Linked DNA regions of Elephas maximus indicus. The protein of the gene in region 1 interacts with the protein of each later gene in a pairwise test. Links are inferred from orthologs where the notes say so. Each region holds a gene or a part of one and is shown on either strand. Other genes may lie near its edges.

Region 1 (14,909 bases):
TTGCCTACTGATGACAACGTGTAAATAAATGAGTGTTCACACCCACAGCTGGTTCCGTTTCTCTCCGAAGCTGGAGGGAGGGGGGCCCTGGTTTCAGCCCTTGGACGCCGGGGGCGGTTGCTGCGCACCGAAGGGCGTGGGCAGCGAAGCGAGGAAACCACGGGGGCCTTTGCCGCAGGCCGAAGCCTAATGGGAACCTCCACCGGTTGCCATGGAGACCGGCCCGCGGTATCCCAGCATGCCTCTCCCCAGCCATCCAATTGTGAGCTCTCCGGCGGGCGCCCCGAGATGACGCACACGGAAGCGCGGCGAGGCCCCGCCTCCCTGAAAAGAGGGACCTGCGCAGCGCTTCCGGGAGCCTGGCGCCGCGGCAGGTACCGGCACCCTTGGGCGCCTCTCAGGGAGACCCGGACTTGAGGCCAGGGAGCCCCCCCCCGCGGTGCGTATCGCCCCCCCCAGCCGCTGGTTGGGTCTCTCTGGGCTAGTCGGGCGCGTCCTGCCCAACCTTCTTCTCGGGGCAGAAGCGGAGACTTAACGGGCTGGACGCGTGCGGGGCCGCGGGGCCGCGGGGCCGAAGCCGGCTGCGGGGGAGCCCGCGATTCTCCCGCCCGCGCCGGTGCAACCGGAGATGAGACGAGGCCGAGCCTCCTGGGCGCGGCGAAAGGGGCCAAAGTGGGGAGGGGCCCGCCTTCCAGGGAGGCTGCCTTCCTGGAGTTCAGAGTCGGAGAAGATAGATGGCATGCCCACCGCACTTCTCAGTTTGCTTTTCCATCCCTTAACCCTTGCCAGCTTTACAACAGTCAGAGCAGGAACGGTTATCCCCGTTTTGCACACACGTAAGAAGAGGAAGTTGTGACTTAATTTACTGCTCAGTAAAATTAGAGTTAGCTGGAGGAGACACACATACACACACCCCCTCTTTTTCTGATCCGGAAAGCCTTCTGGAAGCTGTAGGACTTAGGCTGAGACTTACGGTGAAGAGGAATTGCAGATGGAGGGAACTGCAGGAACTGAAAGAGCCCTGGTGGCGCAGTGAGACTTGGAAGTGGGAAAGATGAGAGGCTGGTTTGGAGACCCGAGAAGTGGAGGAATGAACCTTCATGTCTGCTAAGGTTTTCAGGTTCGAATCCATGGTGAAATCATTGAGGAATGTGACTAAACTCTCCCCTAGGCCAGGCATTTGCCACAACTTGAATAGGTGTCAACCAGAGTTAACAGACACTTTGGGTTTGATTTCACTGCAAGGACCTGAAGCTACCAAGAAGTAAAAACCAACCTTTGACCTGCAAGAGTTTGTTTTGTTTACTTATATTTCCCAGTCCTTTATCAAGGGAGCCAGTACTGGGCTAGTTGACTAAGATGTGTTTGTAGCCCCTGCCCTGGGGAGGCACACAGAGTGGCTGGGGAGACAGAAGGAAAATGAGCAAACAGAAGGGAGATGCAAAGAAGGCTTCGTGGAGGGAGTGGAGTCTACACCAATCTAAAGGGCTGCAGAGCAGTGGCCAGCGAAGCTAGAAGAGGAGCTTAGTAAAGTAGAAGCCCCCAGGAGGCAGTGAGATTCTCTGCTGGAAGGGTGGTTAAATCCCCCCCTTAGGGGCTCTCTTGGCAGGATTAGACACTGTTGTTGGCCACTTCTTCTAAAATGTTCTCTGGCCATAGCTTTGGGGTTTTTCTTTTCTGCCTCTCCCTAATTTCCTTCTCCTTTGCGGGAGTCTCCTCAGCAGCCCTTTGGTGACCCTGGGAGTTTCATCATGGACCCCTTCTCCACACTTTCTGCTTTGGTGCCATACCTTCTCCCATGGCCTGAACAACTCACTCTATGATAGTGACCAGATCTCTGTACGGCCCAGATTTCTCTCTGAGGCTTAGACCCAGGTCCCCAACCCTCCCCCACTCCCTTCTCTCATTTCTGTATCCTTACACATGCTACTCGCTCTACCTGGAATGTTCCCTCCTGTGCTAGTCAGTTCATCCATCTGCTGTGTCTCCCCTGGCAGCCCTCACTGCTGCCCCAAGCTCCTGGTCTTAGAGGCCCCTCCCCTGTGCCCCCAGGCTTAACTCTTCTCGCACCGTGGTAGTGGTCTGCTGCTTTGCCTCTTCTCCCAGGAACGTGTAAGTTCCTGGAGATAAATACTGCCTGCCTGCCCCAGGAATTCCCCTGTACCTGCCATAGTGCCTGGCAGCACCTAGCATATATTAAGTGTTCAATAAATATTCAGTGAGGGAATACAAGGACTGCTTGGCTGTGTCTGATGTTGCTGAGAAATCAATTAAGATAGCCCCCAAAAATACTGGCAGTAGCCACAAGGAGGTTGTCGGTTAACTCAGTGGGATCCGTTTCAGCAGAGAGTGATGGGTGCAGGACCAGATGGGAGCAAATGGAAGGTGAGGAAGCAGGAAGGGCAAGTGTATACAAGGCCTTGAAAGTGGAGCTGTGGCGTGGAAAGCAGTGAAGCGGAATAGGGTGAGGTTTGGTTTGTGTTTTCGCATTTTCTTAATGGTGGAAAACACCTGAGCACATCTACGGTTTCATGGGAAGGAGCCTGCCAAGGAGAGTTGAAGCTACAGAAGAGAGGGGAGTACTGATGATGTGGGGTCCCAGAGGAAGCAGAAAATGAGAAGTGAGAGAAGGGATGGGGGGAGGGAAGGGGACCTGGGTCTAAGCCCCGGTGAAATCGCCCGCACAGAGATCTGGTCACCATCACAGGGCGAGTTGTTCAGGCCATGGAAGAGGGTGCAAACACCAAGGCAGACAGTGTGGAGTGAGAAGGGGTACATGCTGGAACTCCCAGCGTCACCAAAGGGGCTGCTGAGATACAGCCTTTGAGGAGATCTCTGCAAAGGAGAAGGAAATAACTGAGCAGAGCACGAAGACAGAGAAATGTAGAAAGCTATCAGGAAGAGAAGAGGAGTGCACGATGGGCAGAGGAGGAGGGAGAACGTGGTGTCTTTGAGGACTCACCAGTGCATGGTTGGGGCCAAGGAGCTGGGTGGGTGGTTTAGTCCAGTCTGGGAAGGGCCTTGAAAGCCTCCACTAGAAGTTTAAGCCGAGTCCCATAGGCAGGGGGAGCCCTCGGGGGCTTCTGAAAGGGAAAGAGCGCTCACGCAGAGCCCTGCTGGTTCCTGGCCTCTTGAAGAACTTACCTCGTCCTCATACCACTTCCACAGGGAGGTCACAGGCAGAGCAACTGTGGATCCTCAGGGCCACACTTACTGTTGTACCTGCAGTGTTTTCCACCTCCCTATGCCTGCTCTCATAGTGCCATCACAGCCCACCCAGCCTTTTCTGGGGGTGGGACGTTTGGGTGGTAACGCCTCGTGTCGTTGGCCTTTCCCGTTCTGTGAACTGGTGCTTGGCCAGTTCGCCCAGGATTGGGATCGCCAACGGGGTCAGAGGGCATGAGCGTTTCCATGGCTCCCACGCTCCTGGGGGAGATGTGCACCCGGAGCCATTTGCTCCCTTTCACCCAGCATGCGTCAGGGTGGCGAGGACAGTCACCTCCCTGCTGTCCCCTCTAATTGAGGGTCAGGCTGGGCTCGACTCCCTGCTCGGCCACTCAGCTCTGTACCATGGCCAGTGTTGAGTGATGGCTCCACCTGTTCTCCCAGAGCACAAATGCCCGTCCAGCCCCCAAGCAAGGACACAGAAGAGATGGAAGCAGAGGGCGACTCAGCGGCCGAGATGAACGGGGAGGAGGAAGAGAGTGAGGAGGAACGGAGTGGCAGTCAGACAGAGTCTGAGGAGGAGAGCTCCGGTGAGTGTACACACACATGTGCACACACACTTGTACACACCAATGCGCACGCACACGTGGTACCCGCCCGCTCCTCGTCAGAGGCCCTGACTGGCCTCTTGTCCCCAGAGATGGATGATGAGGACTATGAGCGACGTCGCAGCGAGTGCGTCAGTGAGATGCTAGACCTGGAGAAGCAGTTCTCGGAGCTGAAGGAGAAGTGAGCGGGCACACCTAGGGCTGGTCTTCACGGTCCTGGGGGAGGAGGCAGTAGGCTGGGTGTTGGCGGGCGGCTGAGGTCCAGAGTGAGTGAGCACCTGACCAGGGCCTGCCACGGAGCTGGGGCCCTGCGTGTATCTGCCCAAGAGCACAACGGACCGACAAGTTGGGGCTGCCTTTCACCTCCCAGGTTGTTTAGGGAGCGACTGAGCCAGCTGCGGTGGCGGCTGGAGGAAGTGGGAGCTGAGAGAGCCCCCGAGTACACGGAGCCTCTGGGGGGGCTGCAACGGAGCCTCAAGATTCGCATTCAGGTGGCAGGTGTGTGGGCTGTCCCGTGTCCTGGGGTCAGGCCCCAGTCACCCCTTGTGTCCCCCTCCTCATCCCTGCCTGCCCTGTACTCCCAGCCCTCCTCGGATACCTCAACCGCTGCCTTAGGGGGGCCCCCTTCTCCCTCTTCCACAGGCATCTACAAGGGCTTCTGTCTGGACGTGATCAGGAATAAGTATGAGTGTGAGCTGCAGGGAGCCAAGCAGCACCTGGAGGTGAGGGGCTGGGCGCCTGCAGAGGGGTGTGGGCAGGGCCTGAGGGGCCCCACCCGACTGAGCTGCTCCGGCCTCCTTCAGAGCGAGAAGCTGCTGCTGTACGACACCCTGCAGGGGGAGCTGCAGGAGCGGATCCAGAGGCTGGAAGAGGACCGCCAGAGCCTGGACATCAGCTCGGGTGAGGCGCTCTGCCAGTGCCCAGCACTCCTCTGCACGTAGCTGCCCTGACTGCACATGGGTGCAGTCATTGGCCCTGCTCCTTGAGGTCGCCAAGAGGACTGACTGAGAGCAGGCATGGAAGGGCCCAGCCCAGGGCCAGGCATGCAGTGAGGGGTTGGGCAGAGTGGGCCCCATGCCCTCCTGTCCCTGCTCTCTCCCCAGAACGGGAGGTGCGGGCCGGTACGCCCACATATGGTCACCACAGTCCGCTCCGTGTCCACAGCACCTATGTTCCTTCTTCATGTCAGTTGCTCTGCCAAGAGGCTACTGTGGAGTCCTCAGGAGGCAGCAGCTGTTATCATCACCCTGTCATCCCCCCCATCACCCTCCCCCATCTGCTGAACAAAGGAAGCACCTGGGGCTCACAGCAGTGCAGTGCCCTTTCCCATGGTGCACAGCTGTGCAGTCCGGACCTGAACTCAGGCTTCCCAGCTCAGCCCAGAGTTCTTTGCCCCAGGGGAGGGGAGGACAAAGGCAGTGAGGGTGGGGGGCACCCTTGAGGGCTGGCACCCTGACCCTGCCTCTGGGGCACAGAGTGGTGGGATGAGAAACTGCACGCCAGAGGCAGCTCCAGGACCTGGGACTCCCTGCCACCCAGCAAGAGGAAGAAGGCACCGCTTGTCTCCGGTATCCTTCCAGCCACGGGGGCCTGAAGCTGGGGGGGGCAGCCAGGGCCAGCTCCAGACCCGGGGACACGGAGGACAGAGGACCAACACGTTCATGGTCGTTTGGTGTCATGTGATCATGTCCAGGCAAACTCAGCTGTCAGAGATTTATTGTGGCGTCCCAGGTCTCCCGGGGAAACCGTGGTGGGGAAGTGGTTAAGAGCTGTGGCTGCTAACCAAAAGGTTGGCAGTTTGAATCCACCGGGCGCTCTTTGGAAACCCTGTGGGGCAGTTCTACTCTGTCGTATACGGTCGCTATGAGTCAGAATTGAGTTTGGATTTTGGGGTCTCCTGGGCCCTGTGGACTGTAGAGAAAGAGAAACGTCAGTCTTGACTCCCCAGGACTTCCTGAGTGAGTTTGGCCTTTGGTCCCCGTCTGGGTTTCCCACGATGTCTCCCCAGCCACTCACTCATCCCCAAGCTGGGCCCAGGCTTCCCCACCACTGTGCCTTTCCCAGGGTTCCACCCCCTCTTTCTAGCTTTCTCCACCTTCTCATTGCTCATCTCATGTGTTGCCTCCTCCATGAAGCCTCTCCTGTTCTACTCTAGTGGCCATGGCTTTTCTCTCTGCACACCTGTGGCCTCCCTTCTGGGGTGACCACATCCCATATGGTAGAATTGGGCTCTGCCATGAGCCCCTCTAGTCCAGGGCTGGCCGAGTCACCACCCTGGGGATCCCCTTGGTATGTCCCAGCCCCCGAGTTGAATTCCCAGGTTCCACCAGGGCATTCCTGGAAGAACCAGCTCCTCAGGTCACCTTGTGGCGGAGCTGAGGTGCAGGCAGGTAGGAATTGAGTGAGTGGAGGTGAGGGCATGGAGACATCAGTGCAGAGTGCAGGAGGGAGAGTGGATGGTCCTGGGTGGGGGGGGGGCAGAGGATACTTGTCTTCAGGATGGAAGAGGCCGGAGTCTGTTTTGAGATGGGGGAGAGGGCCAGGAGAGGGAACAGGTAATGAAGGCGGGAGCGGGGAGGAGAAGGAGCAAGTCCTGGAGGTGGGGGTGCACCTGGGACAGCAGATCTCGCCTGAGGAGAGGAGGAGAGAGTGAGCCATGGGGCTGCAGGGGTGGGCTGCCCCCTCCCTGTCCTTGGTGAAGTAGGAATGAGCTGCCTTGCTGCCAGCCAGCCAGGCGCTCTCGTAGGGGTGGAGCCTGAGCTCTAACCCAGATTCTCAACCCCTGACCCCACACTGTCCCTGCACCCCCTCCCTGGCCGTTGGGTCGGTCTTGAACTCAGTGGGCTTGGCCTGCCGCATGTCACCTGCCCCTGCCCTGGGCGTCCTGCTTCCTTGACACGGGTGCAGGCCCATACATCGTGTACATGCTTCAGGAGATCGACATCCTGGAGGACTGGACAGCAATCAAAAAGGTGGGCCCTGGGCTGCCCCTTCCCCACCCCAGCTTCCCTACATTCCTGTGGGATATGGGCTGCCTTAGAAGGGAGCACTGTTAGTATGCCGGCCCCTTCCTTGCCCAGGTTTCGATGCAGTTGGGAAGGGAGGGAGGGAGAGGGAAGGTTGGAAGGCAGCAGAGCTGGCTGTCTCTGACAACAGACCCCATCAGAACTTGGCTTACAAAGGTCTTTTGCTGCCGCCTCCACCCTCCTCCACCTGCCTCAGTGCAGCCCCCATCCCCAAATGGGCTGATGTCGGGTGGTGGTTAGGGGGGGCATCTTGCCAGGCTGGGGGCAGACTTTCAGGAAGGCTTTTCTTCTCACCTACCCAGGCTAGAGCAGCTGTGTCCCCTCAGAAGAGAAAATCAGATGGTAAGACCCTCAGATCCTCAGACTGCCTCCCACCCCATCCCCACTGTCACCTCCCTCAGTTCAGCATCCAGGAAAGAGGCCAGAGAGAGGCACGGTCATGTCACAGTCTGAGGCCACGAGAACCACCTAGGCTTTGGAGGTTCTGTGGGAGTTTTGTTAGCAGGAAACAAGGTGGGCGGTGGGGAACTCTGGGTTGATGGAGCTAAGGAATGCTAGAGATTGGAGAGTGCACCCAGCTGGGGCTGGTGGTGGCGGTGGGCAGGGGGGTGCAGCAGCCCTGGTGGGCCTGGAGTACTGGGATGAGAGCTGTGGTGAGGTGACCTGCATGTGGAGGGGCACCCCTCTTCTCACCTCAGTGTTTTTCCCCTTTCTGTGCACCGTCCAGGACCCTGACCTTGCTGTTCCCAGCCAACGGGTCCCTCGGAGCGGCTGGCACCAAACCCAAGACTCACGTTTTCCTGCTGCAGAAAGGTGGACCGACAGGCCCCTCAGATCTGCCTGGCGGCCCGTGGGCTCTACAGGGCTGTGGCCGGGCTCCCCATCCAGCACCACCTGCCTCAGTTCTTTCTCTGCCCTCCACCGGGGTGGCCACCACTGTGGGCCTGGGGCTGACCTGCACAGACCAGACTCTCTCTCTCTCCCTAGCCAGCCCGCCGCCCCCTCCCAAAGACCACCCTCCTCCGTCCTCCCCAACAAAGAAAACATGCCTCATTTAAGCCAAACGGCATCTTCCTGCTGACCTTGGGCCCTGATCAACAGCCCTGAGCTGGGCTCCACTGCCTAGGGATTCAGAGCCATAAATTATATTTGAGGGGCTCTGTCCTGGCAGGAGGTGGAGATGAGAAGCCAGGCTCCCCAGGTTTTCTCAGGGTGTCTCTTCGTGTCTGCCCCCCAGATGGTGGGGACTGGAATTAAACCTTTCCTGGGATTCTGGTGTGGCCTGTGTGTGTCTAATTTACCTGGGGGGAATTGGGGCTTCTGTGGGAGCACCTGAGACAGGCAGACTCTCTTGGTGGCCCTGGGGTATGACACCACCTCTCCCTGGCCCACGGGAGCCCGCCACTCCGACCTGGGGTACAGCCTGGGGACGGGGTGCTCTTCCATACACCGCCCCCCTGGAGGTGGGGGCTGGGCCCTGGGCTACTGGTGCTGCCGGGAGTCTGAGCAACGTGTGGCCGCACAGGCAGAGCATGTGACCTCGGGTGGGGAAGGGGGCAGGGTGCTCTGTGCTTGGAGATGGTCATGTCTGCACCTGCCCCAGTCGCTTGGCAGATTGGCAGGACCTGTGCGGGGGAGGCAGCCGGCAGCAGCGCCATGTGCTGACGACCTCACAGCCAGACTCCCCCCTGTTTAGCGCCGAGTGCTAGAACCACCCCCAGAACCTCAGTTAAGCAAAGGGGCTAGTTGCCATGGAGACACAGCATCCTTTCTCCATGGCAACCTGAAATTCCAAAGCCCAGGTTAGATTCAGACGTGAGTCATGTTACCAGTAGGGGGCACTCTGCCACTAGTCTGACCTCAAGGCCAGGGAAAGATGAGCAACTGACCACAGACTTAAAGGTTCCTCAAGGGCTGTCTGGGGCCCGTAGGGACCTAGACGCGCCTCTTAACCCCTTCCCGCCCAAGTGTGTAGTTTGAGGGAGCCAGCGAGGCTTCGGGAATCTCTGTGAGGAGGTGGCACCCCCACTGCTGGGGCCCTCAGAGTGGCAGTAGCACGGAGGGGGTCCCAGCCCCCTGAGGGTGGGCCCAGAACAGAGGAGGCGGCACGGCCCTGACAGAGTGGACACACAAGAGTTAACGGGCGGGGTGTGCCAGGGCGCACCGCCTTCAGGAAGTGTTACTCACCACCGGGAATGTGAGTGCCTGTGCCTTGGGGGCTGGCTTCCCTTCCTGCGTCCCGGCGGGTGCAGCCGGCTGAGCGCCCAGCCATGGAAGCCCCTGGGGAGCCGGGAGCAGACCCCCTCGGAGCCCCCAGCCCAGCCGGCCGAGCTCCTGCGCACCTGGAGGGAGAAAAGTTAGTGAAGTTGGCAGGGCCGCAGGTGGGTGGAGGGAGGGTGAGGAAGGTCAGCCCAGGCCGAGGGCGGGAGGGTGCAGGCTGGGCGAGCGTCCCACCGCCCGCCCGGCTCAGTGTGCCCGCCCCCAGGCCAGGCCCGGACCCGCTCTACGACGTCCCCGCCGCCAGTGGAGGACAGACGGGCGGACCGCCGAGGCCCGGACGCACAGTGAGCCTTCGGGAGCGCCTGCTGCTCACCCGGCCAGTGTGGCTGCAGCTGCGGGCCAACGCCGCGGCCGCCCTGCACGTGCTGAGGACCGAGCCCCCGGGGGTGAGCGCTGCCCCGCCCCCTGAGGCTGTCCAGCCGAGGGTTGCGGGGGACCGAGCTGGAGGTCCTGTGCTGTCAACTCCTGTCCCCCGCAGACGTTTCTCGTGCGGAAGTCCAACACGCGCCAGTGCCAAGCCCTGTGTGTACGGCTGCCTGAGGCCAGCGGCCCGTCCTTCGTTTCTAGCCACTACATCCTGGAGCGCCCCGGGGGTGAGACGGCTGGCAGGCGGGAAGGGGCTGGGAGCAGCCGGTGGGGCGGTTTCCCGGAGAACACCTCCCTCACTTCCCATCTCTCAGGCGTCTCCTTGGAGGGCTCAGAGCTCGTGTTCCCAGACCTGGTCCATCTCATCTGCGCCTACTGCCATGCCCGGTGAGTCTGCCCACAGGTGCCTGGTGTCGGAGGAGCTCTGCAGGTCTGCCCCTGTAGACACCAGAACCCTTCACTCCTGACTTTCTGCTCCCCTCTCCGGCCCCAGGGACATCCTTCTCTTCCCGCTCCAGCTCCCCAGAGCCATCCACCAGGCAGCCACCCACAAGGAGCTGGAGGCCATTTCCCATCTGGGCATTGGTAAGGGCGCCTCTGCCAGCTATCGCACTTACGGACACACTGAAGCGGTGCGGTCCTCTCCCACGGTTGGGTCTTGACTTGGAGTCTCTTCCGCAGAGTTCTGGAGCTCCACCCTCAATACCAAAGCTCAACAGGGCTTCGGGGACGGCCCGGTGCTACCCCGGCTGAAGCCCCGGTCCCCTCAAGAGCTGGACCAGGGCACTGGCGCTGCCCTGTGCTTCTTCAACCCCCTATTCCCAGGGGACCTGGGCCCCACCAAGCGGGAGAAATTCAAAATGAGCTTCAAAGTGCGCGTGTCCACAGAGACCTCCAGCCCCCTGTCTCCACCAGCTGTACCACCTCCCCCAGTCCCGGTGCTGCCAGGGGCCGCCCCCAGCCAACCAGACAGGCTGCCCCCATGCCAGCTGCTTCGGAGGGAGAGTTCAGTGGGCTACCGTGTGCCGGGGGGCACCGGCCCCAGCCTCCCTCCGCTGCCCTCCCTCCAGGAGGTGGACTGCGGCTCCCCCAGCAGCTCGGAGGAGGAGGCACCGCCGGGGGCCCACGGGAGCCCAGCGACCTCCCCCAGCCTGGGTCGCCGGCGGCCCCTGCTCCGCTCCATGAGTGCTGCCTTCTGCTCGCTGCTGGCGCCCGAGCGACAGGTGGGCCGGGTGGCCACGTCGCTGATGCGGGACCGCCACACAGCAGTGGGCCAGCTGGTGCAAGACCTGCTGACGCAGGTGCGGGCTGGGCCGGAGCCCCGGGAGCTGCAGGGCGTCCGAGAGGCACTGAGCCGGGCCCGGGCCATGCTGAGCGCCGAGCTGGGTCCCGAGAAGCTGCTGCCGCTCGAGAGGCTGGGTGAGGCCCCACTAGAAAGCCCAGTCTCACCCCAGCTCTCCAGAATCCCAGTTCTCCCCTCCTTCGGCTCTCCTCCCCACTATTTCCTCCTGCCTCCTGGTTCTGGTCTCTGCCATACGTGTCCACTTTGCCTTTCCACCGTTCTAGCGAATTCCATCCCCACCTCTCCCCCACTCTCCAGGCTCACCAAGATTCCTCCTCCTTTCCATCCCTCTCCCTCCCTGGTTCTGCCCTTCTCCCCGGATGCTGCCCCATCCTGGTCCTGACTCCCTGACCCCTGGCGTGTCTTCTCTGCAGAGCACGTGCTGGAGAAGTCACTGCACCGCTCCGTGCTCAAGCCTCTTCGGCCCATCTTGGCCGCCCGCCTGCGGCGCAGGCTCTCTGCCGACGGCTCCCTGGGCCGCCTGGCCGAGGGCCTCCGCCTGGCCCGGGCCCAGGGCCCCAGTGCCTTTGGGACCTGCCTGGGCCTACCCTCCCCCGTAGAGGTGGAGCAGGTACGCCAGAAGTTGTTGCAGCTGCTCCGCGCCTACTCACCCAGCGCCCAGGTCAAGCGGCTTCTGCAGGCCTGCAAGCTGCTCTACACGGCCCTGAGGACCCACACGGGTGCGCCCCTTCCTCCTGCCTCACAGATGGGGAAGCTGAGGCCCAGGGAGTAGAGCACCCTCTCCCCAGCCCCTCCACGTTGTAACCATAGGGATCACCCTGAGCTTATAGCAGATGGGGGAGTGTCACTTCTAAGGCTAGCAATGGGCCCTGACTCTGGGACCCCAGAGGAGCCTGAAGCCACCCCCCACCATGTTCCCAAAGGGGAGGACACAGGTGCTGACGAGTTCCTGCCACTGCTGAGCCTGGTCCTGGCCCAATGTGACCTTCCGGACCTGCTGCTTGAGGCCGAGTACATGTCAGAGCTGCTGGAGCCCACCCTGCTCACTGGAGAGGGTAAGGGACTCCTTACCCCCACCCGCCCTCTCCCTTCCCAACACAGGACCTCCCTGTCTGGGTGGGGCCTGAACCTTGGCTTCTACCTGGGCCAGTTAAGCAGGGAAGGAGGAGAAACAGTAGGTTACCCACCCCTAGACTGAGCCACCCTCTTTCCCTTGTGTCCCAGGTGGCTACTACCTGACCAGCCTCTCGGCCAGCCTGGCCCTGCTGAGCAGCCTGGACCGGGCGCATTCCCTCCCCCTCAGCCCCTCCCAGGAGCTGCAGCGCTCCCTCAGCCTCTGGGAGCAGCGCCGCCTGCCGGCCACCCACAGCTTCCAGGTAACAGAGCCCTTCAGATGGCCCCACCTCCCACTGTTCAGGCAGGAAGGGCTCTGGCACCATCCAGGCCTGTCCCCTCCTTTTCTCAAGGGAAAAGGGCTAGTCCAGAGCAAATATGCAGGCTGCCCTTTCTAGAAAGAGGATGTACCACTGTGCTGAGTGCTTCAGGGGCATCATTGCTTGAATCTTCACAGCCTGGCGTGGGGGCAGCCTATCCATCTGGCTGCAGGCAGCCCCTGGCAGCACCAGGATCGGGGGAGGCAGCACGGCCAGTGGAGATAGGGGTCTGGGGTAGGGCCATTATTATCCCCATTTTACAGATGAGAAAACTGAGGCATGACTTGGAGATGGAAAGAGGCACAGATGGCAGGCTCAGGCCCAGGCCCAAAGTCCTCGCCTTCAGCCCCCAGCTGAGGCTCTGCCCTCCTGTCCTGCAGACAGGAGCCCACCAGGCACCAGGCGAGAGCCTGGCCTCTAGCCCATGCTCCCCTCACCCTCCCATCATCTGGGCTCAGGCCTGGGTGTTTTCAGAGCCACATCCCATCCCTGTCCTCTCCATCCGGTCAAGGGAACCTTGTTTAAGAGTCCAGACTCTGTAGCCAGTTCCTGGATTCAAATCCCAGCTCTGCCACTTCCTGGTTGTGAGACCTCGAACAAGGTACATGACTTCTTTGTGTCTCAGATTTCTTCCCTGTAAAATGGGTTAACAATACATACTTCCTGGGTCTGAGTTAACGTAAGCCAAGTACTTAGACTGGTGCCTGGTGCACAGTGAGGCCATCTAAGTGTCCCCTGTCATCGTTAGGCTTGAAAGATACCCCCAGGGGCTGTCCTTCCAGCCTGCAGCCCTGTGACCCACTGGCCCAACCACGTCTCCCCCTTCCTCAGAGCCCCCCTTGGCACTCATCGGATCCAAAAAGCTTTGACAATCAGTTCTCCGCCTAGGTTCTACCCATCCCACCCCTGCCCTTGCAGAGCCTAACCTGGGACCTTTAGAGCCAGGTATCTTACACCAGACAGGCTTGAGGACTTGTTTTGCTTCTCCTCCTGCACAGCACCTCCTCCGAGTAGCCTATCAGGACCCCAGTAGTGGCTGTACCTCCAAGACCCTGGCAGTACCGCCAGGGGCCTCCATTGCCACCCTCAGCCAGCTCTGTGCCACCAAGTTCCGAGTGACCCAGCCCGACACTTTTGGCCTCTTCCTATACAAGGATCAGGGCTACCACCGCCTGCCTCCTGGAGCCCTGGCTCACGGGCTTCCCACAACCATCTACCTTGTCTACCGCCAGGCAGAGCAGCCTGAGGCCCCACCTGGGGCTGCAACAGAGAAGGAGGGCAGGGGGCCGCTAGAGGCAGGGAGCAGGGAGGAGGAGGAAGGAGCCCAAGGAGATGGAGATACTGGGGTCAAAGCTAGCCCTGGGGACAGATGGCAAGAGACCGAGGTAGCTGTTGAGGGAGGGGAGGGTCAGGCCAGGGGAAGCCCTGATGGGTCAGAGGGGCCAGAGGCTGAGGGAAGCCAGAAGGCGGAGGAGTAGCTGGGAGTGACCAGAGATGCACATAGGGTGGGGGACTTTGAGCAGCTGGGAGGGCCTTTCAGAGCCTCAGTGCTCCCAGCCAGGGCTACAGCCTCCTCGGCCACCCCACACTGGCTCCTCCCATGTCTGCCACCACCTAGTGTTACCTCTGTGATCCTACCTGCTCAGGGACTGGAGTAAAGCTGAGGGTCCTGGGGGGGTCCCAGACCAAGTGCCCAATGCCCCTTGCCTCTTCTTCTACCCTAGCTGGAGGCCGCCTGTGCCCAACCTCTGGCCATGGGGGAGGAGCTCTGACCCAGCTGTCATTGCACCGCCCCTGAGGGCACAGCCCAGGACCAGGCTACTGGCCAAGCAGCCCAGCAGGCTGAAGGCTTCAAGGACTGAAAGGCTTCGACCCGTCCCATGTGTCAGGAGGCTCAGGGAGGCCACAGTGTGGCAGCAAGGGCCCAGGCCCAGGCCTGCCCAGGCCACCTGGCGATAGCCTTCTAAGCCTCAGTGTCCTCACCTGGGAAAGGGGGTGCGCTGGCTGCCCTGCCTGTTTCTGGGAGTCAGAGGGGTGCGATTGCCGCAAAGCTGAGCTTGGACTAGGGAGAAAGGTGAGGAGGAGGCAGGCGTTAGCAACCCCTTCCACTAGTCCTGTTCTCCCCAAAATCCTTTCTCTGCACGCTGCCTCCGACCCCAGGGCTGTCACTGGGTGACACTTGCCCATCAGTCCACGGGAGGTCATCAGTCTCTGGGAGGTCATCCTTCTGGAGATCAGCTTCCCAATCTTTGCCCAAGCTGGGAAGTCTGACACCCCAGGGGGAAGTAACACCCGCCAACAGGGAGACAAGTTTCTGAAGTAGGGGAGAGGGCTTGGAAGCTGTTTTCTTTCCACTTAACTCATTTGATCCTCACGAATGCTTTTTGGGGAGGCAGGGCCTGGCTTATTGGCCCCACCGAGGTTCAGAAAAGAAAGATGACTCCCAAGACGTCACCCAGCAAGCCATTAGGGGTTCCTGTACCCAACCAGGGCCCTCGAGTTCAAGCCATGAGCAAATTAGCCTCAAGGCCACGCAGCCCCAAGGGTGGGGGGCAGAAAAGGTGGCAAATCTGAGCAAAGAATAATATCGACCACGAGGGGGCGCACATAGCCCAGGAAGCTACTAAGAGAGTGACCCTAGGGGGAGGGCAGCCCAGGGGCAGCACATGGTCCAAGGTGGCTGACCCTCAGACCCCACAGGGAGGAACTGTCCCCCTGGTGGGGGGAG
Region 2 (15,416 bases), about 60 Mb from region 1:
TAGAATTGTTGGGTCATGTGTCAACTATATGTTTAACATTTTGAGGAACTACCAAGCAATTTTCCAAAGTGGCTGCACCATTTTACATTCCCATCAGCATCGTATTTCTCTGCATCTTCACCAAGACTTGTTTTGCTTATCTTTTTTATTGTAGCAATCCCAGTTGTTGTGAAGTGCTATTTCATTGTGGTTTTGATCCTGCAATGGAATCTATTCCTGATTGGCCTGACTTAGGTCATATATCCATCCTGCAACTAACTACTGTGGCCAGTGGAGGTCAACCCTTAGAGCTGGGGTGAGGTCAGTCATTCCCAAGCTACATCCTTTTCTATGCTCTGAAATACCTTTAGTAGTAGTGGTGTTAACTCTTCTCTGAAAGTTTGATAGAATTCTCCAGTGAAGCCAACAGGGCCAGGGCTTTTTTTGTTGTGAGTTTTTTAATTACGTTTTCAATTTCTTCTTTTGTTATAGGTTTATTTAGTTGTTCTACCTCTGTTTGTGTTTGTTTAGGTAGGTAGTGTGTTTCTAGAAATTTTTCCATTTCCTCTAGGTTTTCAAATTTGTTACAGCATAATTTTTCATAGTACTCTTATGATTCTTTTAATTTCATTTGGGGGTGTTATGATATTACCCATCTCTTTTCTTATTTGGGTTATTTGCCTCTTCTGTTTTTCTTTTGTTAATTTGGCCAATGGTTTATCGATTTTGTTGATCTTTTCAAAGAAATAACTTTTGGTCTTGTTAACTCTTTCAATTGTTCTTCTGTTCTCTATTTCATTTAATTCTGTTCTAATTTTTATTATTTGCTTTCTTCTAGTGGCCAAGGGCTTCTTTTGCTGCTCTCTTTCTATTTCTTTGAGTTGTAGGGTTAATGTTTTGATTTTGTCCCTGTCTTCTTTTTGGATGTGTGCATTTATTGCTATAAATTGACCCCTGAGCACTGCTTTTGCTATGTCCTAAAGGTTCTGGTAGGAAGTGTTTTCATTCTCATTTGATTCTATGAATTTCTTTATTCTGTCCATGATTTCTTCTATAACCCAGTAGTTTTTGAGCAAGGTGTTATTCAGTTTCCATGTGTTCGATTTTTTCCCTTGCTTCTTCTGTCATTGATTTCTACTTTTATGGCTTTATAGTCAGAAATGATGCTTTGTAATATTTCCATGTTTTGGATGCTGTTAAGGCTTGCTTTATGACCTAATATGTGGTCTATTCTGGAGAATGTTCCAGGCGCGTTGGAAAAGAAAGTATACTTGGCTGCCGTTGAGTGGAATGTTCTCTATATGCCTGTGAGGTCAGGTTGGTTGATTGTGGCACTTAGATCTTCCGTGGTCTTTATTGAGCTTCCTTTTGGATATTCTGTCCTTCACCAAAAGTGTTGTGTTGAAGTCTCCTACTATTATTGTGGAGCTGTCTATCTCTCTTTTCAATGCTGTTAGAATTTGGTTTATGTATTTTGGAGCCCTGTAATTGGGTGTATAAATATTTATTATGGTTATGTCCTCCTGGTATATTCAACCTTTAATTGTTATATAGTGTCCTTCCTTATCTTTTGTGGTATATTTTACTTAAAAGTCTATTTTGTCAGAAATTAATATTGCCACTCCTCCTTTTTGATTTTTGTTTGTTTGATATATATTTTTCCATCCTTTACATTTTAGTTTGTTTGTGTCTTTAAGTGTAAGGTGTGTCTCTTATAGGCAGCATATAGATAGATCGTGTTTTTTATCCATTCTGCCACTCTCTGTCTCTTTATTGGTGCATTTAGTTCATTTATATTCAATGTAATTATTGATAGGTATGAGTTTAGTGCTGTCATTTTGATGTCTTTTTTTGTGTGTGTTATTGACAGTTTCTTTTTTCCACTTAATTTTCTGTGCTGAATAGTTTTTCTTCATATATTGTCTTTTCCTCTTTTTCATTGTTGTTGCTTTTGTATTTGATGAGTCTTTATGTTTTTGTTGTTTCTTTATTTTGATGTGTAGGATTGTTAGTTTCCCTTTCATTACCTTAATATTTACCCCTATTCTAAGTTTAAAGCAAACTTTTATGTCTTTATATTGCCTTGACTTCCTCTCCATATGAAAGATACATGACTACATTTTTTAGTCCCTCTTTTTTGTTTTAATGTTGTCATCTTTTACATAATGATGTCTCTGTTTTCCGGTTTTGAACATTTTAGCTTTGATTTATTTTTGTGATTTCCCTGTCTGGGTTGATATCTGGTTGCTCTGTTCTGTGTTCTAGTTTTGGGTTGTTATCTGATGTTATTCATTTTATAACCAGAGGATTCCCTTTAGTATTTCTTGTAATTTTGGTTTGGTTTTTGCAAATTCTCCAAACTTCTGTTTATCTGGAAATATCCTAATTTTTCCTTCATATTTGAGAGACAGTTTTGCTGGATATATAATTCTTGGCTGGCAATTTTTTCCTTCAGAGCTTTATATTTCATCCCATTGCCTTCTTGCCTGCATAGTTTCTGCTGAGTAGTGTGAGCTTAGTTTTATTGACTCTCCTTTGTAGATGACTTTTCGTTTATCGTTAGCCACACTTTAAATTTTCCCTTTATCTTTGGTTTTGGCAAGTTTGATTATAAATTGTCTTGGTGACTTTCTCTTGGGATCTACCCTGTGTGGGGGTCAATGAGCATCTTGGATGGATATCTTCTCATTTTTTATGATATCAGGGAAGTTTTCCGCCAACAGATTTTAACAATTCTCTCTGTATTATCTGTTATCCTCCCCTGTTCTTGTACTCCAATCTCTCATAGGTTATTTCTTTTTGATAGAGTCCCACATAATTCTTAAGGTTTCTTCATTTTAAAATTCTTGTATTTGATTTTTCCTTAAATATGTTGGTGTCAAGTGCTTTATCTTCAATCTCACTGATTCTGATTTCAATTTCCTTAATTCTGCTCCTCCTTCTACTGAGTTGTCTAATTCTGAAATTTTATTGTTAACCTTCTGAATTTGTTTGCTGTCTCTCTATGAATTCTTGAAGCCTATTCAATTTGTCATTATGCTGTTCTCTAGTCTTTTTAAGTTCCTCTAATGCTATGTCTGTGCATTCCCTGGCTTGTTCTGCCTTTTGCCTGATCTCCTTCCTGATCTCTTGAAGAGTTCTGTATATCAATCTTTTGTATTCTACCTCTGGTAGTTCCAGGAATTTCTCTTCATCTGGAAGATTTCTTGAGCCATCAATGAGTTATTGTATTTATTTATTTTAGGTTTGTTTACTATGTCCTAGCTTCTTGTTTTGATATGCCCAAATTGGCTGCTCACATGAGCTAGTTTGATTATTGGCACATTTGAAGCTCTAACATCCTGTCACTAGGTGGTTAGAGTTGTTACTAGGTGTTTTTTTTTTTTTTTATGAGCTCAGGAGTCCATTCACTTTTCTTGTATGGATTCAGCTCAGGTATCCAGGTAGTCGGTCACCATGTGTGTGGTGCAGGATCTCACCTACAGTCTTAGACAAGCAGAGGTGATTGGTGTAGGCACAGAAGAGTGTCTTGTGCTGCAGTAGAGAGTCATGTGTTGAGCAAGGCAGAGGACCGACAACCACCCCTGAATGTCTGTGTGGAAAGCATGTCCCTGTTCCCTAGAGTGTGTAAGGTGGGTGGGTTTTGCAGCTGGACTATGAGCACCCAATGCTGTTGACTGTCAGGACTGGGAGGCATCACTTATCCTTGGACCCCTGTCGAGGGTGGCTAGGTGGCATGGGTGAAGCCACTGGTCCTCAGGCTCCTGATGGGGGTAGGTGAGGACCCTGCTTAATAGGCAGAGTGGTGTCAAATGTCACTAACCTCCGTCTTCACCACATAGCTGAAACACTTGAAGTTAGACTTCAGGTATATACCCTGTTGTACTGTGCGAATGAGGGCCTAGGCTGTTGAAACGGGCCCACACATGTCTATGCAGGGGTAAAAAGCATTCAAAGTCTGTGCACTGCTTATGTCTGTACCTAGGCAAAGGAGCTGTTTCTGCCCTGAGTTCCCAGCTTAGGGGAGCAGCAGATTATTTTTCCCCATGTTTGTTAATTTTTTCCTCCTCCAAGGCTGGAAAGATGGCTCAGGGCACATGACAGGTCCTACTTCCAGCCCAGGGAAAGCGCTATCACTGAAGCCAGTGAAGAGTAAGAAGGAAAGGAAACCTCAGTGAAGACCCAGGCAGAGAAGCAGTTCAGCAAACAGGTTTCTCCTTTACTCTGAAAACTCCAGTCATATGGCACATATGGGCCATCCGTTGTTATTGTTGTTAGTAGCCATCAAATTTATTCCAACTCCTGGCAACTCCATGTGTACAGAATAGTACTGTTCCACAGGGTTTTCAAGGCTGTGATCTTTCAGAAGCAGAGAGCCAGGTCTTCTGAGGCGCCTCTGAGTGGGTTTGAACCACCAACCTTTCAGCTAATAACCTAGTTCTTAATCTTTTGCACCACTCAGGGACTATGGGCTCACCAGCTTGTACTATTTATCACTGCCTCCTCCTCTTTTTCTTTTACTAGCCCTGGTTAGTGCAGTGGTTAAGAGCTTGGCTGCTAACCAAAGGGTTGGCAGTTCGAATCCACCAGCCACTCTTTGGAAACCCTACGGGACAATCCTACTTTGTCCTATAGGGTCGCTGTGAGTTTGAATAGACTCCATGGCAACAGGTTTGGTTTGGTTTTTTGTTCGTCAGGTTATCATGAAGTTAAGAAGCCCCTGAGCATTCCTCCGTCAGATGCAGAATAACAGAAAACAAAGGAATTCATTCCAATTGTTTTAGCACTGATACTTGATTTCCCCCAGCCCAAATGGTTGTGGCTTGTATAGTTATGTATTTTTGTTCAGGAATAACTTTCTTTTGGATATTCTTAGAATTTGATAATGTTTTCTGGTTTCTGTGTCTTTTTGAAAGGGGAGAAAGATTTGGGTTGCACTTTAGACGAGAAGGGGCCTGAGCAGAATTCTTTAGCCATCTTGGATGTAAAAGATTATAGGAGATTTCAGGGCTACGCATTCACTGAAAGGCGTCTGTGGGAAGCATGTCTGGCCCGTTCACAGTCCTTCCTCGTCATGGGCTTCCTTTCTTTTCTCTCTCATTTTTCTCCTCCCTCTTTTTGCATTGATGATATGACATTGAAGGCTGTTTTAGCTACTACTGCTGCATAACAATATCCAAAACAGTTGCTTAACCAACCTATTAAAAGAAGCTGAAGAGATTTGACACCTAAATGCAAGGCCCGACTCTAGACTGGATCCTGTACTGAAGGGGAAAATGCTCTAAAATATATTATCAGGTCAACTGACAAAATTGGAATACAAATAGTAAATTAGATAAAAATATGCCTATCAATGTTAAATTGACTGAAGTTGATAAGTGTACTGTAGATACGGGGGAGAGTATCCCTGTTCTTAGGAAATGCACACTGAAGTATTTAGGGGTAAAGGATCATGTTGTATGTAACTTACAGTTGAATAGCTCATTATAAATTATATTTATATACATATAAAATACATGAAACCCTGGTGGCATAATGGTTAAGAGCTATGGCTGCTAACCAAAACACTGGCAGTTTGAATCCACTATGTGCTCCTTGGAAAGGGAGTTCTACTCTGTCCTATAGGGTCAGTGTGAGTCAGAATCGACACGAAGACGATAGGTTTTTTTGGGGGTTGTTTTATATATATGTATATATAAACGAACCATTTTGTACCATATTACTAGAAGCTGAAGAGATTTGACAACTAAATGCAATGCCTGACCCTAGACTGGATTCTATATATCTATATCTATATATCTTATATATATATACCTAGAGAGAGAGACAGAGGAGAGAATGATAAAGCAAATGGGGTAAAATGTTCACAATGTGCGAAAAATTGGATAAAGTGTATATGGGTATTCTTTATACTTTATACATTGAAATTATTTCTAAAATTTTTAAAAATAACCGTTTTACTATTTTATTTTGCTCGTTATTCGGTGGGTCAGGAATCAAGAAGTGTTCAGCTGGCAGTTCTTGCTTGGGGCCTCTCATACAGTTACAGTCTCATGCCTGCTGGGGCTGCAGTCATCCAAGGGCTCAGCTGGGCTGGGTGTCCAAGATGGCTCAGTCACACTGCTGGTAGTTGATAGTAGTCGTCTGCTGAGACCTCATCTAGACTTTCCATTGGCATACCTACATGTGGCTCTCCAGCATGGCAGTCTCAGGGTAGTCAAACTGCCTTTTATTTTGTTTCTCCCAGCAACTATCCTTAGGGAACATGTGGAAGTTGCATGATGTCTTCTGACTTAGCCTCCAAAGTTATGTAGCATCTCTTCTGCTGCACTAGCCTGGTGATGAGTGAGTCACTAAAATCACTATGGTATCCAATATCTTGCATTCATGTCTTAAAACCACCATAAATGCTTACTATATGTCAAGGATGTTTTATATGCTTTACATGCAGTAACTCATTTCATTCTTATTAAAAACTCCATAAGGTAGGTAGTCTTATTACTCTTACTTTAATGAAGAGGAAACTCAGGCAGAAAGGCAACTTCCCACCATCACACTCCATTAGTTGTATTTGAATCCATTGAATCTGGCCCCTGAGCCCATGCCTTTAACTACTATCCTATGCCACCTCTACCTAGAGCTGAGTCCTGTTACATTTGGTTAAACTGTCATGTACATTGTTGTTGTTGTTAGGTTCTGTGGCATCAATTCAGACTCATAGTGACCCTTTGTACAATAGAGTGAAACACTGCCAGGTTCTGCACCATCCTCAAAATTGTTCCTATATTTGAGCTCATTGTTGTTGTCACTGTGTCAATCTAGCTCACGAGGGTTTTCTTCTTTTTCATTGACCCTGAAGCATAATGTCCTTCTCCAGGGACTGGTCCCTCCTGGTGACATGTCCAGAGTATCTGTGCGGTCATATACATAATCATTTTTTCATTCATGATTACGATCATGCAATCTCCCCTAACACATTGAAACCATGTGGCACAATGGTGTTTCTTTGCATATGCTGTTTCTTCTCCCTGGAATACTTTTCTTCCAATTATTCACCTATTTATATCATTTATCTTCAGGTCTTTTAGAGGTCTTCTCTGATCATCCAACTCCAGGTTGAGAACATCTACTACGGGCACACATGCAATGTGTGCTTATGAAGTTATAACTTTTGTCATTATACTTTGTAATTTGCCTGTTGTCCCGACTATGCCCACCACTGGACTCTAAGTTACCCGAGGTCAGAGACATTATTCTGTTCACTAATACATTTCTAGCATTGAGCACAGTGCCTGGTATGCGTAGTATGTTCAGTAAGTTCAAACCCATCTCTCACACTCACACTCACTCTTCATATACAGTTACCACATATTTCTCGCACATAAATACAGTCCCTAAGACAGTCTCCTGACACATACAATATCCATCACATTCACTCTTGTCCACACATGCTTATGACTTATTCCTCATTCCATGCTTATTCCTTATTCTACTGTCACATTCCTCACACACACAATCACTGTAACACAGCTCTAATTCTCAATCACTGTCACGTACGGTTTTTTCACACAACCATGGTCACCGTCTGTACTCTTTAAACACGACAGTTACTCTCCTACAAGTTAAGATGACAACAGCTCTATTTCTCACCCATACGCCATCACATACTGTACTTTTTATCTGCACAATCCCTGACATATACCATTATGGCCACACATTGTTTTACTGTCTTCTTCCCGCAGCCATTCTTACCCGCACCCACGCTCTTACGTACATACAGCCCAGGGATAAAAGAGGCACATCCGTGGGGGTCAGAAGCCTCGTCAACTCCCAAATCTCAGCCTCAGGCCACTGCGGCCCCGCCCCGGCCCCGCCCCCTCATGCATATGCAGCACCTCAGCATATCAGCACGGCCCCCAGACGGCCATTTGTAGCGGCGCTGGAGGCTGCGTTCGGCAGGCGCTGAGAAGACGAGTAGAGAAGCGCGCCCCTCGCCGCTGCCTCCTCTGGCCTCTGTGGACGCCCCGCTTCTCCGCGTCTCAGGCGGAACCGGGCCAGCCCCGGGTGCCGAGCTGCCGTGCGGACCGACCCTCCCAGCAGTTCCCGGCGCCGGGGACCCCCGCCCGGCCGCTCGCTCGCAGCCCGCCGGCCGCACACGTCCCCGGAGCCGGGCCTAAGGCGAACGGCGGCTTGGTGCGGCCGGGCAGGGCTCGGCGGCGTCCCCATGGCTGCGGCCAGCTGGCGGGACGGCTCCGGCCAGGAGAAGTACCGGCTCGTCGTGGTCGGCGGGGGCGGCGTGGGCAAGTCGGCGCTCACCATCCAGTTTATCCAGGTGCCTGAAGCGGGCCTGCCGGGGGCGCCGGGGCGGCGGCGGGCGGGGGCTCGCGCTACCTGTGGCGGGGCGGACGCCGCAACACCGCCCCGGAGGCGCCGCGTGGGGGCCGGGGCCGGGCCGGGGGCGGGCGCAGGGCCGGCTCTGCCCTTCTGCCCTGCGGCCGCGGCGCCGTGCTCCTGCCCGCCCGGCGGGCGACGGGGTCGACGTTCCGGGAGTCGGGCTTCTCAGGAATGTGGCCGGGAGGGCGGAGCTGGCCGGCTGGGAAGCGCCGATCCACCTTATCGCTCCGGCGCGGGCCGGAGCCCTCCGGTAGAGGCAGCGCCGCTGAGCCCGGCTTCCTGCTCCGAGCGCCCTCGCGTTGGCCGTGAGGCTGGAACCCAGCGCTGGTTTTCCAGCCGCTACCGGGCTGCCTCCGGCGCCGTGCTTGGGATCGCGGTGGCAACTTGGCCACCGCTCTGCGTGGTCTCTGAGTTTCACCGCGCTAGCTGCCCCGGAGCTGCCCAGTTCAAACAGTGTGTTTTTCTTTGTGTGTGTGTGCTTTTAAGTTATCTCTTAGGTAATATGTTCGGGGGGTAGTGTATGATAATACCCCAGGGAAATGGTGGCTTCGAGGAAGTTAAAAATGTTCTCCGATAGGCGTGAGACCACTTCCTAGGAATGCCTGATGCCTTCCTGCTTCTCCCTGTGCCAAGGTGAAGTTTGGGCTGGGTCAGGTTAAGGGGTGACTGAGTCGTGCATTCTGTGCTCTAACCATCCTTTCCCCCACCCCCAACCCTCTCTTGCTACAGGCCAGAAGTCAAAGGTTGTGGTAAAGAAAACCAACCAACCAACCCGTTGCTGTTGAGTCGATTGCTTGCGTCTCATAGCGACCCTATAGGACAGGGTAGAGCTGCCCCATAGAGTTTCCAAGGAGCGCCTGATGGATTCCAGCTGCCAACCTTTTGGTTAGCAGCCATAGCTCTTAACCACTATGCCACCAGGGTTTCTGTGGTAAAAAAAAAAAAGAAAAGGGAGGTGGAATTCTCCTTTCTTAGAATTTCATCTAGGTTAAAAAGGTTAAGTGATCTCTTTGGGATTTTTAAAAAGAGTAACCCAGGTATCTTTCTGCTTTTGTCCATCTAGTAGGTGTGGCATATTCTGATAGAGAACGAAGGTAGCCAGTTAAAACCGGTGAGAAATATATTCTTACTGTTAAGAGGCTTTGGTGAAATACTTATTTTATTTCTGGTTTCTGCTTCACCCCTTTGTCATCAGTTGGGGGTACTTGAATATCTTATTTCATTTCACGTTTATACCAGTGCCCAGTGCCGTCGAGTCGATTCCGACTCCTAGCGACGTTTATAGTGACGTTAAAATACAGTGTACTGTAGCATAAATGACTGTTAACCTTTCACATTGACTAAAAGAGCAATGATTTAAAAAAATAAATAAAAATTGCTGCTGTAATATTCCAAGGGATTAAAAACTGCTGCTTAAAACCTTTGTATCCAGGAAAAGAGAATGTTTATGCAACGAGCATTTACGGTAGGCTCATTAGTGGGTTAAAAAAAATCACACTAAGAGGCGAGATTGGTTTAAGTTGAGTAGGCTGTGGAATCAGGGATGCTGTCATGTTTCCCTAGGACCCAAAGAGGCTTTAAGTAACAGATAGCAAAGCAAAACAATTTATAGCTAACCTTTTCTCTGGAGACTATAGTCTGATGGTTAGCGTTGTGAGGGAGGAGTGGGAGAATGAATAATCCTGGGCTCCAGCATTGATAAATAGGGTTATCTAAAAGATTTGAACCACAAATATTAACTTTTTTGGGGAGGTATTATCTGAATGTATTTAAATATGCAACCTGATTATTTTAATTAAGATATCAGAACTTTCTGTTCTGGAAAATAGTATTAGAAATCACGAAACTAATGGTCATTGCTGTTTTCCTAACGATTTTCTGGAATTTGTTGAGATAATCCCTGCTTTATGAATAGTGCTGTACCTCGGTGCCAAAAAAAAGAAACCCATTGCAGTTGAGTTGATTCCTACTCATTGCGACCGTATAAGAACAGAATAGAACTGCCCGTAGGATTTCCAAGGAGCACCTGGTGAATTTGAACTGCCGACCTTTTGGTTAGCAGCGGTAGCTCTTAACCACTACACCACCAGGGTTTATCTAGGTGCTCTAGATGGTATAAAAGAAGTAAAAGGGACATGTATGCCTGATAAGGACATGGATATATACATAGGGAAGGAGAGTGAACGATTAGTCACAGACTTGAGCTCTGTATTTTGCTCTGTTATTTACTGGCTGTGAGAACGTCACCAAGATATTCAGCCTCTCTGAGCCTTAATTTTCTCATCAGTAAAATGGGTCTGATTATACATTCTTTATAACCCTTTAAATTATGGGAAAGTTCTTAGCATTGTGTCTTGCACATAGTAAGTGCTCAGTTAGTGGTAGCTGTTGTATCAATAGTATATGTATGTAGTACCGTAACACACATAAGCGATGGGAATTCAGAATCAGGGAGAAGTCAGTTTGGGAAGAGTTAATAGGAGTACCATGTATGCTTAGTGGTGAGGAGAGTAGATATGTCATTTGTAAGAATGGGAGAGTCTGGTCTTAGCTTGGAGAGAGGAGGCAGGCTAGGGGTAGGGAGTGTGATAGACAGGCAGCTTGGGGGCCAGTAAAGGTGAGGAACGTGGGCTTTGAAGTTGACACTTTCTGGAGAGGCAGGAGCCAGACCACCTGGATGGAGTCCAGCTCTCCCACTTGCTGCATGTATAATCTTGTTGTTAGGTGCCATGAAGTTGTTTTTGACCCACGGCGACTCTGTGCGACAGAGTAGGACTGCCCCGTAGGGTTTTCTTGGCTGTGATCTTTTACTGGAGCAGATCGTCAGGTTTCTTCTGTGGAGCCGCTGGGTAGGTTTGAACTGCAAACCTTTCTGATAGCAGCTGAGCGCTTAACCATTGCACCACCAGGGCTCCTTAGTGTACACTTAGGCAAATTATTTAACCTCTCTGTACCTCAGGTTTTCCCATCTGTAAACTGAGGAAATACAAAGTACCACATACAGTCATTGTGAAAATAAAATTAGTTAACATATGTCAAGGGCTTAGAACAATGTCTAGTGCATAGTAAGGCTACATACGATGTTGTTGGTCAATCTTAGATGACGGAGCTAAGGTGACTTGTTTATCATCTGTATTTACTAGAACCCACTTCCGTCGAGTAGAGCTACTGTATTTACTAGAGCCACTGTCTTAGTTCTGCTATAATAGAAATGTAATGGCTTTAACAAAGAAAAATTTATTTCTTCACAGTAAAGTAGGCTAAAAGTACAAATTTCGGGTGTCAGCTCCAGGGAAAGGCTTTCTCTCTCTGTCAGCCTTTTTATCAATCTTCTATCAGGTTAGGAGCTTCTCCGCTCAGACCCCGGGTCCAAAGGACGTGCTCAGCTCCCAGCACTGCTCTCTTGGTGGTATGAGGCCCCCTCCTCTGCTCCTTTCCCTTTCCTTTTATCTCTTTAGAGATAAAAGGTGGTACAGGCCACGCCCCAGGGAAACTCCCTTAACATTGGATCAGGGATGTGACCTGGGTAAGGGTGGTGTTACAATCCCACCCTAATCCTCTTTAACCTAAAATTATAATCACAAAATGGAGGACAACCACAGGATACTGGGAATCACAGCCCAGCCAAACTGATAGACACGTGTTTGGGGGAACATAATTCAATCCATGACATTCCACCCTTCGGCCCCCCCCATCACATTCTTGCAACATACAAAACACATTCATCACATCATATCATAGCAAAAGTCTTAACTCTAAGTCCAAAATCCAAAAATTCCACTTCGTCTGTGAAATCTAGCATATGAGTTATCTGCTTCCAAAGGTGCAATGGCAGAACAGGCACAAGCTAGACATTTCCATTACAAATGGGAAAAACTGGAGGAAAAGCAAGGATAATAGGCACCAAGCAAGTCAGCAGAACACATTACATTAGCCCTCAAAATAATCTTCTTCTCTCTGAGACAATTTACACAATGGCCCTGCCCTCCAGATTCTAGGCATTGACCACACTCTCCAGATTCTGAGTGGAGGCTTCTCAGCCCTAGGCTTCAGCTCCGCCTTCAGGCCCACTGGGACAGCAACTCTACTCCCTCAGCTTTAGGTGCACCATTCTCCTAGTCCATCTGGGTGGCACCTTCACCCTTAGAAACACCAGAGGCCATAGTTCCACCCTTTGAAATCCCAGAGGTCCTGGCCATATTTTTTGAGGCTGATTGAGCTCGGATTCTTGAGTTTTTTGTCTCTTCAGCTTCTGCTTCCTGTTTTTTTTGGCCTCTCAGCTCTTTGGGCCTCATGCCCTCATCTGTCCTGCTGGGGCAAATGTTCCAAAGCTCTGTAGCTCCACCGATAAGTGCCCGGAGGCACCCCACTCTGCTAGGAAGCCTCTTGCGCACAGGTACTCAGCTCTCTCCCTTCATGGGCCAGCTCTAGCGCTCTCTGGCAGTGGTCCCTAGTTCTGCTGCTGCCGGTGGTTCTCTGCTGCCGTAGGTCCTCTGCTGCTGCTGGTCCTCTGCCGCTGCTGCTCCTCTATCCATTCACAGTTTCAAACTGCTCCCACATTTTCGTTATCTGTTAGAGCAGCACCCTGCTTTCTTAGTACCAATTTATGTCTTAGTTATCTAGTGCTGCTATAACAGAAATACAAGTAGATGGCTTTAACAAATTTATTTCTTCACAGTAAAGTAGGCTAAAAGTCCAGATTCGGGCCGTTGGCTGCAGGGGAACACTTTCTGTCAGCCTCCTCATTGATCTTCGCCCGGACTGAGTTCTCCACACAGGGACCCTGGGTCCAAAGGACGCACTCTGTTCTTGGCACTGCTCTCTTGCTGGTATAAGGTCCCCCTTTCTCCTCATTTCCCTTTTCTTTTATCTCTTGAGAGATAAAAGGTGGTGCAGGCCACACCCCAAGGAAACTCCCTTTACATTGTATCAGGGATGTGACCTGGGTCAGGGTGGTGTTACAGTTCCACCCTAATACTCTTTAACCTAATATTATAATCACAAAATTGAGGATAACCACACAATACTGGGAATCATGGCTCAGCCAAATTGGTACACACATTTTTTGGGGGGTCATAATTGAATCCATGACAACCACTATTGTCTGACTCCTAGAAAACTGATTTTGCTGTGATTGTCTAACAGTAGTAAGTGCAGGAAGAAGAGGCAGCAGAAGGCTAATCACCTTAGCAAGTGGAAGTTGGTTCTCTTTGTAGGAAATTAAAACCAAGCCAAACCCATTGCCCTCCAGTGTATTCTGACTCGTAGATACCCTGTAGAACAGAGTAGAACTGTTTCATAGGGTTTCTAAGACTGTAATCTTTACTGAAGTTGGCTGCTTTTAAGACTCCTTTAATAACAGAATTTTTGCAGTTTCCGTACGTATTTTTCTATTATGAATCTTGACCTAAAAAATGTAAACAACAAATTTGGGAATGTAGAACTTAAAAACAAGGTTACCTCTCGCACTGACTTTCTTTGACCTTAGATTTAGTTGTTACCTATGCATATTTTTATTTTCCCCTTTTGTGTATTGCAACTTGAGGCTTGAGTTTTTTTTTTTTTTTTTCAGTTCTCTCAGCTGAAGAAATGCTGAGTGTGTTCTTCCCTTTTGGTTTTCTATCTCCAGGTCTTTGCACGTGTCATCATAATACTTTGCCTTCTCTACTTTGCCTTCTCGAGCTGCCCTTTGAAATCTTCTGTTCAGCTCTTTTACTTCATCATTTTTTCCTTTTGCTTTAGCTACTTGACGTTCAAGAGGACGTTTCAGAGTCTCTTCTGCCATCTATTTAGGTCTTTGCTTTCTCTCATGTCTTTAATGATACCTTGCTTTCTTCATATGTGATGTCCTTGCACAACGTGTCTGGTCTTCCGTCATTCGTGTTCAACGCATCAAATCTATTCTTGAGATGGTCTCTAAATTCAGGTGGGATATGATCAAGGCTGTACTTTTGCTCTCATGGACTTGTTCTAATTTTCTTCAGTTTCAGCTTGAACTTGCGTACGAGTAGTTGATGGTCTGATGTGCAGTGGGTCCCTGGCCTTATTCTGACTGATGATATTGAGCTTTTCCATCGTCTCTTTCCACAGATGTAGTCGATTTGATTCCTGTGTACTCCATCTGGTGAGGTCCATGTGTATAGTCACTGCTTATGTTGTTGAAAAAAGGTATTTGCAATGAAGAAGTTGCTGGTCTTGCAAAATTCTGTCCTGCAATCTCCAGCATCATTTCCGCCACCAAGGCCATATTTTCCAACTACTGATCCTTTTTCTTTGTTTCCAGCGTTCACATTCCATTATCAATGCATCCTGATTGCATGTTCGATCAATTTCAGACTGCAGAAGTTGGTAAAAATCTTCAGTTTCTTCATCTTTGGCCTTAGTAGTCACTATACCAAAAAGAGTTGGTCAGTGTTCAGCCATTTCAGGAAGTAACATATAATCAGGAACTGATGGTACTGAAGGAAGAAATACAAGCTACACTGAAGGCAGTGGTGAAAAACAAGGCTCTGGGAATTGATGGAATAGCAGTTGAGATGTTTCAACAAATGGATACAACACAGGAGGTGCTCACTTGTCTATGCCAAGAAATTTGGAAGACAGCTACCTGGCCAGCTGACTGGAAGAGATCCATATTTATGCCTATTCCTGAGAAAGGTGATCCATCTGAATGTGGAAATTAAAAAAAAAAAAATTATTAATATCACATGCAAGCAAAATTTTGCTGAAGATCATTTAAGCACGGCTGCAGCAGTATATCATCAGGGAACTGCCAGAAATTCAGGCTGGATTCAGAAGAGGATGTGGAACCAGGGACATCATTGCCAATGTCACATGGATCCTGGCTGAAAGGAGAGAATACCAGAAGGATGTTTACCTGTGTTTTATTGACTAGGCAAAGGCATTTGACTGTGTGGATCATAACAAATTATAGGTAGCATTGGGAAGAATGGAAATTCCAGAACACTTAATTGTGTTCATGAGGAACCTGTACGTAGATCAAGAGGCAGTTGTTTGGACAGAACGAGGGGATACTGAGTGGT

The links.
Region 2: the proteins of RIN1 (region 1) and RRAS2 interact in binary tests that used the Homo sapiens proteins (3 or more experiments, as listed by UniProt). The link is inferred for Elephas maximus indicus from reciprocal best matches to the Homo sapiens genes RIN1 and RRAS2.

Annotation. Positions count from the first base shown.
Region 1 is NC_064825.1:129,477,581-129,492,489, reverse strand, and holds the start of RIN1 (ras and Rab interactor 1), read left to right. Parts: upstream 1-8,987; 5' UTR 8,988-9,069; coding exon 9,070-9,155; intron 9,156-9,284; coding exon 9,285-9,465; intron 9,466-9,557; coding exon 9,558-9,672; intron 9,673-9,759; coding exon 9,760-9,832; intron 9,833-9,938; coding exon 9,939-10,030; intron 10,031-10,126; coding exon 10,127-10,864; intron 10,865-11,161; coding exon 11,162-11,467; intron 11,468-11,671; coding exon 11,672-11,803; intron 11,804-11,972; coding exon 11,973-12,124; intron 12,125-13,179; coding exon 13,180-13,659; 3' UTR 13,660-13,905; coding exon of another isoform or gene 13,906-13,953; 3' UTR 13,954-14,909. Other genes in the region: BRMS1 (breast cancer metastasis-suppressor 1), read left to right, coding at 3,617-3,755, 3,864-3,954, 4,144-4,271, 4,416-4,495, 4,577-4,673, 5,249-5,341, 6,681-6,745, 7,102-7,141 and 1 more. UniProt on the Homo sapiens protein: Ras effector protein, which may serve as an inhibitory modulator of neuronal plasticity in aversive memory formation. Can affect Ras signaling at different levels. First, by competing with RAF1 protein for binding to activated Ras.
Region 2 is NC_064825.1:69,693,785-69,709,200, reverse strand, and holds the start of RRAS2 (ras-related protein R-Ras2), read left to right. Parts: upstream 1-7,901; 5' UTR 7,902-8,203; coding exon 8,204-8,311; intron 8,312-15,416. UniProt on the Homo sapiens protein: GTP-binding protein with GTPase activity, involved in the regulation of MAPK signaling pathway and thereby controlling multiple cellular processes. Regulates craniofacial development.